Styela clava: one gene and its partner. The protein of the gene in region 1 interacts with the protein of each later gene in a pairwise test. Links are inferred from orthologs where the notes say so. Each region holds a gene or a part of one and is shown in the gene's direction. Other genes may lie near its edges.

What was found.
Region 2: the proteins of serine/threonine-protein kinase 4-like (region 1) and small ribosomal subunit protein uS10-like interact in a two-hybrid assay, tested with the Drosophila melanogaster proteins (2 studies listed by BioGRID). The link is inferred for Styela clava from reciprocal best matches to the Drosophila melanogaster genes hpo and RpS20.

The regions. Positions count from the first base shown.
Region 1 is NC_135254.1:9,064,754-9,072,415, forward strand, and holds the start of serine/threonine-protein kinase 4-like, read left to right. Parts: upstream 1-4,632; 5' UTR 4,633-4,664; coding exon 4,665-4,805; intron 4,806-5,247; coding exon 5,248-5,408; intron 5,409-5,822; coding exon 5,823-5,942; intron 5,943-6,709; coding exon 6,710-6,865; intron 6,866-7,572; coding exon 7,573-7,662. UniProt on the Drosophila melanogaster protein: Plays a key role in the Hippo/SWH (Sav/Wts/Hpo) signaling pathway, a signaling pathway that plays a pivotal role in organ size control and tumor suppression by restricting proliferation and promoting apoptosis.
Region 2 is NC_135257.1:17,376,170-17,382,322, forward strand, and holds small ribosomal subunit protein uS10-like, read left to right. Parts: upstream 1-4,066; 5' UTR 4,067-4,191; coding exon 4,192-4,228; intron 4,229-5,259; coding exon 5,260-5,588; 3' UTR 5,589-5,633; downstream 5,634-6,153.

The DNA.
Region 1 (7,662 bases):
CGTTTTGCGGGCGGCTGAATTCGAGTGTGCTTGATTATCAATTACGGATTTACCTAATTTACAATTTTTCGACGTAATAGGAATGAATGCGTAAATAAAGAGCCTTGACAAGGAATTGCAGCAATGCCCACCACGAACCCTGCAAAGGTGTCGCAACAAAGATCTCCTTCGAAAAACATCGCTCACGGGGAAAATTGGCTGCTATTCGGAATTATTTTTAAATTAGCTGAAAAAGTATTCGAATACTTTGATATTGGAATATTCGATTTGTTATGGACAACCCTGTGCCGGTGTGATTAAGCTGTTTTGCTGGGCAGAAAATCCAAATATCTAGGCGGTTCATATGGTCTTCCTTACGTTCACTCACGTGAAGCGATCACCCGGCTAGTTATTCTCAAGCCATGAATGAACTGATAAATATCTTACTGGTAGACTCTCATAACTCTAGCTAGGTATAAATATCAATTTCTCTCGTATTTAAAACAAAGTTTTGCCTATACCTGTATTATCGAAAGTTAGGAAATATATATACACCAACTGACCTTTGCCATGCTACCCGACATGCAAAACGTTATCTGACCAAAACTACAAATATACAAGATTCTTTCTGGTAGCCACATTCTTTAGAGCCCAATGCTAAATTTGTATGTTTATTATCTGTGTAATGTGTTTAATTATGAGACATTCACTTTGCTGTGATCATTTGTGCGGCGTCACTATTGCTGTTTGAATGGAAATGCCATCTTTTCAGTTTGATGTAACGTGACGGATTTAAAACAATAAATCACTCAACGAGATTTCCTGTTCCTTCTTCCATTATTGAATCCGCGGCAATTTGGTATTAAATCCAATACTGAGAAAAATTATTAGTGAATAAGACTTCTGCCCAGCTGAAGGGCATCCCAATAACCAATTATAAAACCTTATTACATCTGAATACCACAAGCACAATTAAAAAATAAATACCGAGAAACATAGAGCATTAATAGTGACTGTCATTACAGTTACCAAGCAATCAATTAAGAAATTCAGGCAGCACACGGGCTGAAAAGCAAAGTGACGGCTTCACGAAAACAAGCGAGGAATGGGCTTGAGGAGACTGCTGTAAAAAAAAACTGGCTGGCAAATGTATGCCTGTAAACTGAGTGTATATAGCACAATCTAAGAATGAAAACTTACCAAGTGGAAATAATAAATTGTATGTTCGAAGCTCTAGTTTAGATCAGGGTTCATTCTTCTTTGAAATCTAATCGAACAAGGCAGATCCGCAATATGACTCTATGCAACTAGACGTGCAGTGCACCAGTACTCACTAATGGGTTCACTTTAGCTCGTTGTGACTATCAGTGGTTGTAGGCAAGTAGACAACCACTTTGAATCGCGTTCACAGTGAGACAAGATAGACTGAAAAGATACGGTGCGATGCGACAGTTAGGGTACCTCATTCAACTGATAGGCGTAATTGAATTTGAGCTAACGAAGGCGACCATAGGTAGGATAAGTAATGGTATCGGTACCGAAAGTGCTGGACGAGGGCAACCTGTCTGTACCGGTAAGCGATATTCCCATGGTTTCTTCTAATTTGAAATTATGAGCTGCCGTTAATTATGGTAAGGCTGGGAAAACTGATTAGACGCTTTTTTTTTATAAGTTTCCGTCAGGTTTTATTATAGTATTAAAGTATAAAGGTTTTTGATTTGCAATGCAAATAAAATCCTAGAATACTGTCGAAGATTTTTTTCAACTTTGACTGTGTGAAGCAAGAAAAAGAGAATAGGCCTACAGCAATTTTCATAATTTTACGAACATCAGCATTAAGCGTAGATTAATAAATCTGATAGAATCCACTGTACATACATTGAAAACTTCATATTAATTCTTTCTATTAAAATAGTAAATCTCCCGATCCTCGCCCGCTAACTGCCGACAATTTACCGCTCTTTGAAAACCGCTACATATATTTATATATAAATATATGCGCCGCGTCCAATGCCATCATTCCAAAGGCCAAAATTAAAATAGTAACTTGATTAAATTATAATTTTGTGTAAAAATTCAATCAATTTCCTCTAAAAATCTTATAAAATTTTCTTTCGAAATAAATATTCAAATTCCTGGCTTGACCATGCTGCTGTGCTCTGAAAATCATCAAAATGTAATAAACAAATCAACTAAACTATAAAATTTCGTTGAACTTGCCTTGCAAAGCTTATAGCGATATCTTTCATTTGAAACACATTTGAAGTCGTAGTGTTTATATCAAAATTTCACGGCACAATCACCTGCCGCTTACATGCGATAGCCTAATAGCTCATTTTAGCCTAGGCTATCGCATTCTTTGGAACTAATTCTTGATTACGGCAACTAAACTAATGCTCATCAGAACACATAACGACAACTAAAATACTTCATTCTCAACTAATTTTTGAAAACACAACTAACAACTGACAAATAACACGCAAAACCGCAGGGCAATGTGTACAACCATACTTGAATATGTGTATGAAAGAACAAAGTGTCTCAGGGATGCAATAATTACAATTGTTACGTCACCGTTGACATTTTGCTATATAGTCATTGTACGGAAATAAACAAGAAAATCGGTGCTCTTTGCAGCGTTGCCAACTTAGATTATTTCAAACTAGATTTAGATTATTTTCGTATAATCTAGATGTAATAAATGCCCAATTAGATGTTAGATTATTTTCTAGATTATTTTAGCATTCATTTAGATATATCTAGATTATTTCGACAAATGTAATTTTGCATTGTTCTCTCGTGGCAAAGAAGTGAAGTTCACCAGCACCAACAGTAACAACATTTGAAGAGATAGCAATGTCTATGGAGATAAGATAATTTACAGAATAGTTTTCCGATCGGGGTTAATAGTGCTCAAAACAACGAGGGAGGCTCGCCAAAATATTGTCGAATGTCCAGTATTGCCATACTCTGAAAGTAGCGTGAACTGAATGCTGAACCGAACGTCTATTCTGCGTCTTCGAGATTGTTGCTGGCATGAAATCCAATATTTAGGTTGAATCCAATTTTCTGGTTTACTCGTATCTTTTACGACATCTCGAGACCAGTTCTCTCTCCACCTATTCCTTTACTTACGCCATCTATCGAATGTGGATAGGTTGATGGAATTGACAATGAGTACCGGTACCGTTACCGGTACCATACCTTGTAAGTTATGTGGAAGGCCGACATTATTTGAATGGATTGGATTATACTGATGCTGAATTAATGGAATATACAATGACAGAATGATGATGGGAATTATATTGGATGGTGAAATTTAATGTAATGTGATGAATATTGTTTCCTTGTTTTAACACATAATAAAAAAAATTCGGAAATCTCAGAAAAGTTGCAGAAACTCCATCAGCGGTTTAAAACATGCCACCCAAATAACCAAAGACTGTTAGAGTTATGATTTTGTTTCACATCCGCTTCGCTGCACAAATAATACCGCCTTCCAGGTCGTCTGCATTTTGTTTGTCCGTTTTTTTTGTCTCGTTTTATACCAGAGCGACCAAAATAAAATTGCTGAATTGATTGAAAAAATATTCCTAAATGAATATATAGTCTAAATATTATAGTGTTTACAGATTATTATTTTTAAACAATCACCCAGGCGACTGAAAGTCATAACTTAAATTGTTACCGTCTGACCGTTATATGCCACCTACAGAACTACTGCCCTAGTAGGCTAATCAAAATTGTATGAGGACTGGAGGATGCCCGATAAAGCCCTTCAAAAATATGTCGCTTTTTCTGGCTGAAAATTTCATGATTTAAAATTAAACAACCAATTTTTTGTCTTTGTCTGCTTTCAGGCTGTTCGCTGTTCGTACATTCCATTTTAAAACAAGCTACTGAGGCCATTATTTCTGTATTTTGTAGCATTGCGAAAACCTAGTTATAAATGTGTTAAAAAATATTCCGCTTATTATTATAATGTTTAGATGGAACTAACAGATTAATATTGCAATACTTCATAATCCACTTGTATTCAATGACACAATTTGTATATGTATACTGGTACAGGTTGGGTATAGGTTGCTTTTGTGATAAATATGCCCATTATTTTATAAATCCTCAACTATTTGTATATTATTATTTTTAAACAACTCCTAGGGCACCTGGAAATCAAAGTTATAATTCAAACCTCCTTTTGCCATCTTGTTGTCTGTACTGTATCCATCATATATTGTTCAATTTTACTTTAAAAACTTGAAATTCGCCAAATTGGCAAGCCAGCACTGCGCAATAAACTATAAATAAGTGCAATCTAAAAACGCTACCATAGAATTTCTCGGTAGAAAATGGTCCGATTGACAGATGGAAAAAAATTTTACTGTGACGACTGACATTGTTCCAGACGCCCTCGTTTCAGTGACAAATAGAGTGATTGTTTCATATTATAACCAAACGTCAAGACATCTTGGAATCGGAGAACTGTGTTCTACTGATCAATCGTACTTCTGTATTCACCTTGTTGTAGCTTGATAGTAGAAACAACTTGTAAACAAAGCTATGTAAAGATGTGACTTTTATACAATTAACTGTAAAAAATGTAAATTCTGGAATTGGACCAGAGTTAATCAGAATTGTTTTTATTCAATTCAGTTTCGTGAAATTTTAATAAAAAAAATAAAAAAATGGATAATAAAAAACCACTGAAAAAATTGAGTGAAGAAAGCTTGACAAAACAACCAGATGAAGTATTTGATCTTCTTGAAAAGTTGGGAGAGGGATCGTATGGATGTGTTTTTAAAGCTATTTATAAAGAAGCTGGACAGGTAAGATGATTTGATTCCAAAACTCAATGTTTGATTCAATATTCAATCAAAATTAAAATATTTGTTAATAATCCATGTAATGGTTAGATCTTTAAAGATTGTCTTAAACTCAAGCTTCATTGATATATACATATATATTTGCACAATTTATAGTTCGGATGTCATATAATGTATTATCTGTATGTTGTTAACTTGTTATGCTGTTATACCTAGGGCAAGTTATTTTCATATTTTCTTCCTCTATCACAAGTTGTAAAAAAAATTCGATCTTTGATGCTATTTGTTCAAAATTTCGAATCAGGTCTCCAAGGTAGCAAATTGAGAAATATGATTTTTATTCTGTAGGACACAGAGTTTTAAATAAAACTCCCAACTTAAAAATGAAAACAGTCGTGAAACAGAATCTTTGTATATCTGACTCTTTCATCTATTATTTAATCAGGTTGTTGCAATCAAGCAAGTTCCTGTTGAATCAGATCTTCAAGAAATTATAAAAGAAATAGCAATAATGCAACAATGCGATTCTCCTTATGTTGTGAAATATTTTGGAAGTTATTTCAAGAATACAGATCTATGGATTGTCATGGAATATTGTGGTGCTGGGTATGTAATATGATTTTAAGTTATGCAAATATTTTATTTCAGTTTAATTTGTTGATTAATTATATTTTTGTATCAGCTCAGGCTTCAGTTACGTGGTATTCACTGTTTGATAGCTTATCATTGTATTGGCCTGATATAATTATTCAAGTACTCATAAGGTATTTACCACTATAGTTCTTTGTAGTCTCATCAGCTCTTGGCACTCCAGTGCTTGCCCGTAACTTTGCTCAGAACTCATTCTCCTCCTCATAATCTCTTGGTACCTCAGTGGTGGCCAGTAGCTTTACTCGGAGCTCAGTCTTCTTCTCAGCAGCCCTTTTGTACCTCTGTGGTTGCCTGTAGCCTTGCTCAGATCTCAGTTTTCTTTACTTACGAGTTCCGAGTGTGTGACTGTAGCATTCTTCCTTCCATTAGATCTGTATCGGACATCATCAGACTCCGACGCAAAACTTTGATTGAAGAACAAATAGGGACTATATTGCGAGATACTTTGAAAGGACTTGAATATTTGCACTTCATGAGAAAGATTCATAGGTAAGTTGAAAAAAATTTGCGTTATTTACTTGTTTGAAATCACAATGGCTTTGGCTCCAGCTTTTTCTTAGTTCGACTGCTCCTGGGTTACTGGTACTACAAAACCATAGCTTCAAACTTTTACAAATTGAAACTTTCAAATTAATAGACTCACTCCAACTTTAACTGCCAGTACTGGTTGATTTACTACTCAACAAGCTCGTTTGGTTTCGAAGCCATGAATGTACGTGATTTATTGATAATCTAATCTTCAAAATGAAAATAAAATTTGGAAAATTAGGATTTAGTTAGAATTTGTTCTTCAGATAAAATCTGTTAGTTCTACTATTAACAAATAATAGTGGAAAATTTTTTTGTTTCGTTACAATAGGACAAATTGTCATTCTCAAATTAGAAAGTCAGAAACTCAAGTATGCTATGTATTGAAATGCTGGGATATGGTACTAATACTAATAAGGACATTTTTAATGAGATAATATTTTTTCCATCTCAGATATAGACTATGTCCAGCATCAGATTAGGCTATTAGGCGAATGGCTCAATTCATGGATGTATTTTTGCACAAATATCAAATGTTGGGAATGTGACAGAATCTTGTTTTAATGATTCTTATAATTATATAACCTCTAAAACGTTGACGACCATGTTTTTTTCAGACCGTCCCATAGCAACTTTCCTATTCTTAATTCATAGTCTTCAAATGGAGATATTTTCGAACAGTTTCAAACCTCAAATTTTTTTTATTTTAAATATCACTATAATTTCAGAGATATCAAAGCAGGCAACATATTACTGAACACTGATGGAAACAGCAAACTCGCAGATTTTGGAGTTGCAGGTCAGTTGACTGATACCATGGCAAAACGTAACACAGTGATCGGAACACCATTCTGGATGGCACCAGAGGTTATTCAAGAAATAGGGTAAGTTGATAATAACGGATCATTTTGTTGAAATGGTGAATCATAGCTGTTCAATACTTGCATTGCTTTGTGATGCTATATATGGTTTATTTGCATTGCATGACATTATTGTCATTCCATTATAAATAAAAATAAATTAATTGTGAATATATTTGTGAACTTTTGTTGTATCGTAGTCTTATTTCTTCATACAAAACAAGATATAACTCAATCAAACACACTGAATACTATTTTGGGGAATTATATATTATTCTTAAGGCAGTTAATATCATTCATCATTTGGAAGCTATCTTGTTCAAGCATTCTTGTGGCAACCGCAACATACGGATATGAAGTAGGAAATAGACAGGAGAAAGGAATTGTAATTCAATACATAATATTACAATAGTACCCGCCTTATTAATTTGAGCTAAATATCTCGGCCCATCATGTATGAAACTAATACTAAATATGAATGCTTTAGTTGTGAGTATTCTTTATTGCACAGTCTTGTCATTCAACTAGATATTAACTTCTTGGTAGAAGCTGAACAGTAGATTATTGAATTAGTGTCTATTTTTCTTGTCCTAAATTCTGCTGCATTTTCTACAACACGGCTTTTGATTAATCAAAGAAATTTTAAATAATTGTTTCGGTATCTTATTGATCATTATTAAAATAAGTGAACAAATACTTTATATACTAAATGCTGTACATATTTTGTTTAGTTATGACTGCGTAGCAGATGTCTGGTCATTGGGAATCACAGCTATTGAAATTGCGGAAGGAAAACCACCGTATTCAGATATTCATCCCAT
Region 2 (6,153 bases), on another chromosome or scaffold:
CGTCATTTACTAACCTATTATCAACTTATCTAGGATGGCCAATGTACATATTAACCGTAGATAAGGAATAGAATTAATTGTGTTGAGACCGATGGACGTCAACACACCTGGTTTCAACTTCTTCGGGTGAAATGACTAAAGAATGTAAGAGATCAACTTGTAAAACATGGTCTATTTGTGAATGCCGTGATAATTAATGTCGCGCTTATCAAACAGCAATATAAAGACGGAAGAGAAATTGCGTAATGAACCAACGCAACTTAGTCTTTTCGGCATCGGTAAAGCGATTGAGACGGCAGAGAAACAACAATACGACGGGATTTCCCGTGTTTATTCTCCGCGAGATCCATTTTCTATTACAAAATCTTGATGTTATGTTACCGATTTTATCGTTATATATCTGTCCGGACTTGGCATTGCTCAATATGTTTTTCATAATGTCTCGCAATATGTCGGCCAAATATGATTACCTGTCTTTACCAAATGCGGCAACTTATTTTGATTTATCGTCAACTCGAATACCACCGGCACTCGACCAAACTTGTGTCAATCTTGGCAAATAGGATTGTCGACTTGAGTTAGAAAAATAAATTAATATTTTCATGAGTGCAAAATAAATGTCACAAAATGCATTGTTTTGCGATATAATTTTGTATTTTCGGAGAAGGCATGTCATATAAGTACGTTATTTTAAATAATGCGCAAATAATTAGTATTTGATCTAAATTTATCGCAAATAATGTTATGGGCCGCGAAATGATTTAATGTAAAATGAAGCATGGAATTCGGAATATCGTCAATAAGTCGGCATCAATAATTATTATAAAATGCTAACTAAGTAGTAAAGTCGGATATTGTAAAAAACGGTGAAATAACAAGTCTTCGTCGCGAGGCAAGCTAAAGTATAATCAAACGAGAGAATACGCTTGTAGTTGATTTAATAAATTAGCAACCCGGAATTTTTATTTAATACGAAAGCCGTATTAATACGTTAATACGATTTTGAAAAAGTGAACTATCGGTTCTTAAATATATTACCAGAGTTGGTAATGATAAAATTGATCGCATAAAATTTGGTGATAGAGTGGATAACAGAATCAAAGCTAATACAAAAGATAAAAATCAGAATAAAATTGTTTTGAATTCACTCCTTGATATTTGTCTTTAACATCTGTCGCCGGCGTGTAGTACTGCCGGGAATATGAAAACCAAACTTCGATGTCCCATTCGGAATAGAAGTGGATTAAATTGGTTGTTAGGATAGGTTTAAATGTGTGAAAAAATATCGCAATTACGGGGTCATTACGTAATCGATTTGGCCGTAATTACGGAATTGATTTTTGTCAATTACGTGCAAGCCTACATAGTACCTTCTTGTTATTAACGATAAGGATTTCAGCAGTGATATTCTGCATATATTTCTCAAAGTACAAGGCAAAAACAAACAAATATACGGAAAAGTGGGCGAAAAAAGATTTAAGACGTTCTCATGCACTTGCCCACTTACCCCAAATAGCGAACAATACATTGAAGTAAATTTTAAAAAGACATGATAACTCCATATACAACGGACAAAATTCTTTCTAAACTGCATAGTAGATGTATGAGTAACTCCTTATTCAACGCCTTGTTTAAAGGGGTGTGTGAAGTACCCCATAATATAAGTGGGGATGCTATCACCAAATCTTTATCGAATGATCTTGGCAAAAAGAAAATCTTAAACTACAGTGGCACATCACCAGTCAGAGTCCCAGCAAATTTGTGTACCAGGTGAAGTCAAATCACACTGCTTCCATTTACAAGACGAGTCCCAGTCATTATAGATGGGCGCGTTTTTACGGCGGGAAAATGGTTCATTCTGACAAAGGAATGAATCTTTATATAGGCTAGGATTTACATATTATCTCGGGGAATAGGAAAGCCGATGAGACGACTTAACCATATGGCGAACCACGACCTCTCGTCCGGTTACCATTCCATGTCGGGTATGACTAGGGTTACCATATTTTTGTGACTTTACATTTTCCGATTTTACTACATAGGCCTCCATTCAAAGACATCCCGTCTGTCTTCATTGACATATTGCTATCGAGAGTTCATGCGCATATTCTCTGTCCAAATATCGGGTTCAGTTCGAAAAATAGAAAGGAATTGACGTTTACTAATACAAATAATTCGAATTTAGATTCTTTATGTACAGCAAAAGGAAGAAAGATAGCCTGCCGTTTTCAAGCATTGAGAATTTACTTATTCGCCTAAGCATGCTTTTCTGTAGATAACGCCTTCGTCAAAAAGACGTTGTTCAATGTTACATTCACGTGAACGTCAGAACAGGACCAATTACTATTGATTTAACATGTTATACGTTACGGAAACAACGAAACAAACAAAATAACGGATTTACCTCCAGCAAATGGGCTAGCGCTGGGCTGCACAGCAACAACAGTAACGAAAACATGTTATTTTGTATAGTGTTCGTGTATTATAATAGATGGTGGAACGCCAACGCGGGACTTTTGGCTGACTTGTCAGGACGGCGGGACAACACGCGATAAAGCGGGACTGTCCCACCCAGTATGTTCCCCAGCTTTTCTCTTTAGGGGGGGGGGGGGGGGGGTCCAAAATTTAGGGGGTGGTAAATAATTTGCTATTAGAGATAAAACTAGGCTATGGTATGTATTTAAGAAACGATGTACATGGGGGCCCCCAAGTTGATTGACGGCGAGCCAAAATCCAGAGCAGAATGAAATTGTAGGGCCAGAAAAGGGGAGCGAGGAAAAGTGCGGGACGACACGGCTGGGGTTCAGGGCGTGCTTAAGCGCCCTGAGAAAATTTTGAGAAATAGGCACCAAAATAGGCTCTAAGCTTGATTTTAGATACACCTAGCATCGCAGTTTGTTATGTAATAAAATCAACAATTATAATATTTAGCTGATAGAATTCTCGGGGAATAGATAACAAGCACGGCTTTCAACCGCAAATATATACTACTACGTTTCAACAAGTAATTTGCAACTGATAGTGACTAATGAAGTTACTTGCTCATCTGACATTGTATGAATGGCTACTTATGGCTTGTTTTGTTACACATTTCTAATTTTTTTGAACATGTTTGTTTGACTTTTGTATGAATTAAATTTTGAAATACGCTCGTCAACTGATCATAATGTTGTATTCCTTCAGAACTGAAATATTTTGTAAGGAGACAAATCGCTGAAGTTTGATTCTTTTCAATAAAGAAATAAAAACGCTGTCATTCATCTAAAAAACGTCTGTTTTCAGTTCCTAGTTTTCGTTTTGTGACATCTTTAAGCCTTCTTAATATATGGCTGATATCTAAAATACTGCAGTGTGTAATCATAATACCCATACCTATACATAAGATACCGGAATAATTCAATTGTTACGAAATAAACGTGCTTAAACTGTGATAATGATGTAACAATAGACGGTATCTAAAACTCAAAAGGTACCACATGAAGGGTTAAACTATTTCACTCAAGTTCGGCGGGCCATTTCAAATCGTCACGCGGGCCGTAATTGGCCCGCAGACTGCGGTTTAGAACCCTTCAGTGTGGAATCGCACCCCAAAATTAGGGGGGTGTTCACCCCCTATAGGGGGGGGGGGGGGTGTAGGGAAATCACTGGTTCCACCTAAAGCGGGACGTATGGTAAGCCTAGGTATGGCATTAGTTAGTTATTTGTTGTTCGGAAGCATAGACTTAGTGGCAGAGGAGGCCGTAACCGACCAGCGGTCACGTGGACCACCCTACGGCGGCGAGTAGTCCAGCAATCCTCACGCACATAACCATCCCCGCATGGGATTCGATCCTGCGAACCCACGCAGAGTAATCAGATGTGCGGTGGCAAGCGTTTTTCTAAACTTAAAGCACAATGAGTCCATGATAGTAATACCGCCGCGTATTTGTTTTAAAAGGGTAGATCCACGCTGGGCACATTGTAAAAATGCGATTAACCAGCAAACTGTGGAGACTTTGCACAACATTTAAAGTGACGTCACTGTGATAACTCACCCATGACAAAATGTGAAATCACACGCACGTTGGCGTTCTCGCGTCTCTTTCTGTTCATCAGTCCTACAGTGTGGATCTGATTATTTCTGGCTCACCGCTGTTCTCGTATTTTATCGTATTTCGAGATTACGTCGGCCGGTAGACACTAAAAAACATCATGAGTGCGTACAAGGAGACTGGCAAAGCACCCCCAGGTTTGTGAATTCAACTAGCTTATGTTTTATGTTACTGCGTTTCGGCCGTTGCGTACGGTGCTCGTTAATGCATCCTGCTGTACCGGTACTGGTGAAACTCATTGGCACAGTACGGTACCGGTATGCTGGTAGCTTAATTCAGTATAGAGTTGGTATATGCATACCGGTAGTCTATCAGAGAATTCAATTCAATAAGTGACTTGAACATTGAATAAATAGTGCATCAACCAGTAATAAAATTTATGCTTTGTGTATATATCTAAAAATAGTCAATACTCAAGCCTTGTACATACAGTAATCTGATAATCGTACATCCTATGCATATCCGTTAGCTGTCCATATAGTTGTATCATTACCTCAAGTCAATACCAAAATTATTGTTGTTCATTTTATCATTATATTTATTCTTTTGTTTACGATTGTGTTTGGTTGACGAATCAAAAAATCTGATTGCCTGACGTATCAAAAAATCTGTTTGCCTATGGAGAACTGCACTGAAAAATAGAGCTTGCAAAAAAGTCAAAATTGATTGCTTTGGATAGTTCGACATGAAGCCTCATTTTTCGAGTTTAATGTTCATAGAAACTTCAGATTTATAAAAAAGCTTCAACTGTCAGACTGTTGAATAAAATGTTTTTTTTCTTCACTTGATTAATCTGTTTCATTTTGACATCTGCATAATCTACTTTTTCCCCTAATTTCTTATTAACTGATCGTCTGCTTATTTTTGATACGCAATGTTGTAAATAGAATAGCTAACATAAAAGTTCAGTATTTCGGAATTCTATTTCTGATTTCACAGCCGAATATTCACAAACTACATTACACTAATATTTGTCATTAATCGGGATTTTGAAATTATACAAAAATAATTAATAATCTGTTTTCTTGTATATTTTTTATCAGCAATAATTTCAAACTCTGGAAGACCTAAATTGACAAATAAAATTTTATTGATCGAGAGGATTTTGATCAGTTGGGTACTTTTGGCATCATTCATTTGTTTAATATTTCATTCTTACACATTCTAGGGGAAGAACCTCCAATTCATAAGATTCGAATTACATTAACATCGAAGAATGTTCCCAGCCTGGAAAAGGTCTGTGCTGATCTGATCAAAGGTGCAAAAGAGAAGCAGCTTCGTGTAAAAGGACCTGTAAGAATGCCAACCAAGGTCCTTCGTATCACCTGTCGTAAAACACCTTGCGGAGAAGGTTCGAAGACATGGGATCATTACCAAATGAGAATCCACAAGAGGTTGATTGATCTTCACAGTCCATCTGAGATTGTAAAGCAAATCACCTCCATCAGCATTGAACCTGGTGTTGAAGTGGAAGTTACAATTGCTGACGGTGCCTAATTGTCTCCATTTCATGCGTTTGTTTGAATAAATGCATACACATAATTTTCTAACATTTGTAAGCTGGGCTGGTCAAGTAGGAGAGAAAGTGTGGGAGTTACTATGTAGTTTGCTAACCTTAAAATTGAAACTTGAAATCTTGTCCAATATTGGTGACAAATTACTTTTTGCATTCATGTGTGTAAATTTTGTAATGTCCTAACCCAGAGCTTCCCAAACTTTTGAGCTCGCGGCCCCTTTTGATATATTAAAATTTTTCGCAGCCTTTGTTCACGCTAATAATGCTAAACAGTTTAAAATATGCATTTTTGATATTTTATTGAAACAGCTAATTCTAAACTTTGAATAGGGCTACTCAATAACAAAAACATCGTTACTCAGATTATTCAATGTAATGGGTGCGAATGCTTCTTGCTACATAGCAAGTTCAGCCGTGGCGCAATGTTTGTTTATGCAGGCCTAATGATGAATTACGATGTCTGCCCACCGACGATCTGGTTCTAGTACGAAATTGTTCACTCTTATTGATCAAACTCAACATAAAGCAGTGGTTTGCAGCGGCACC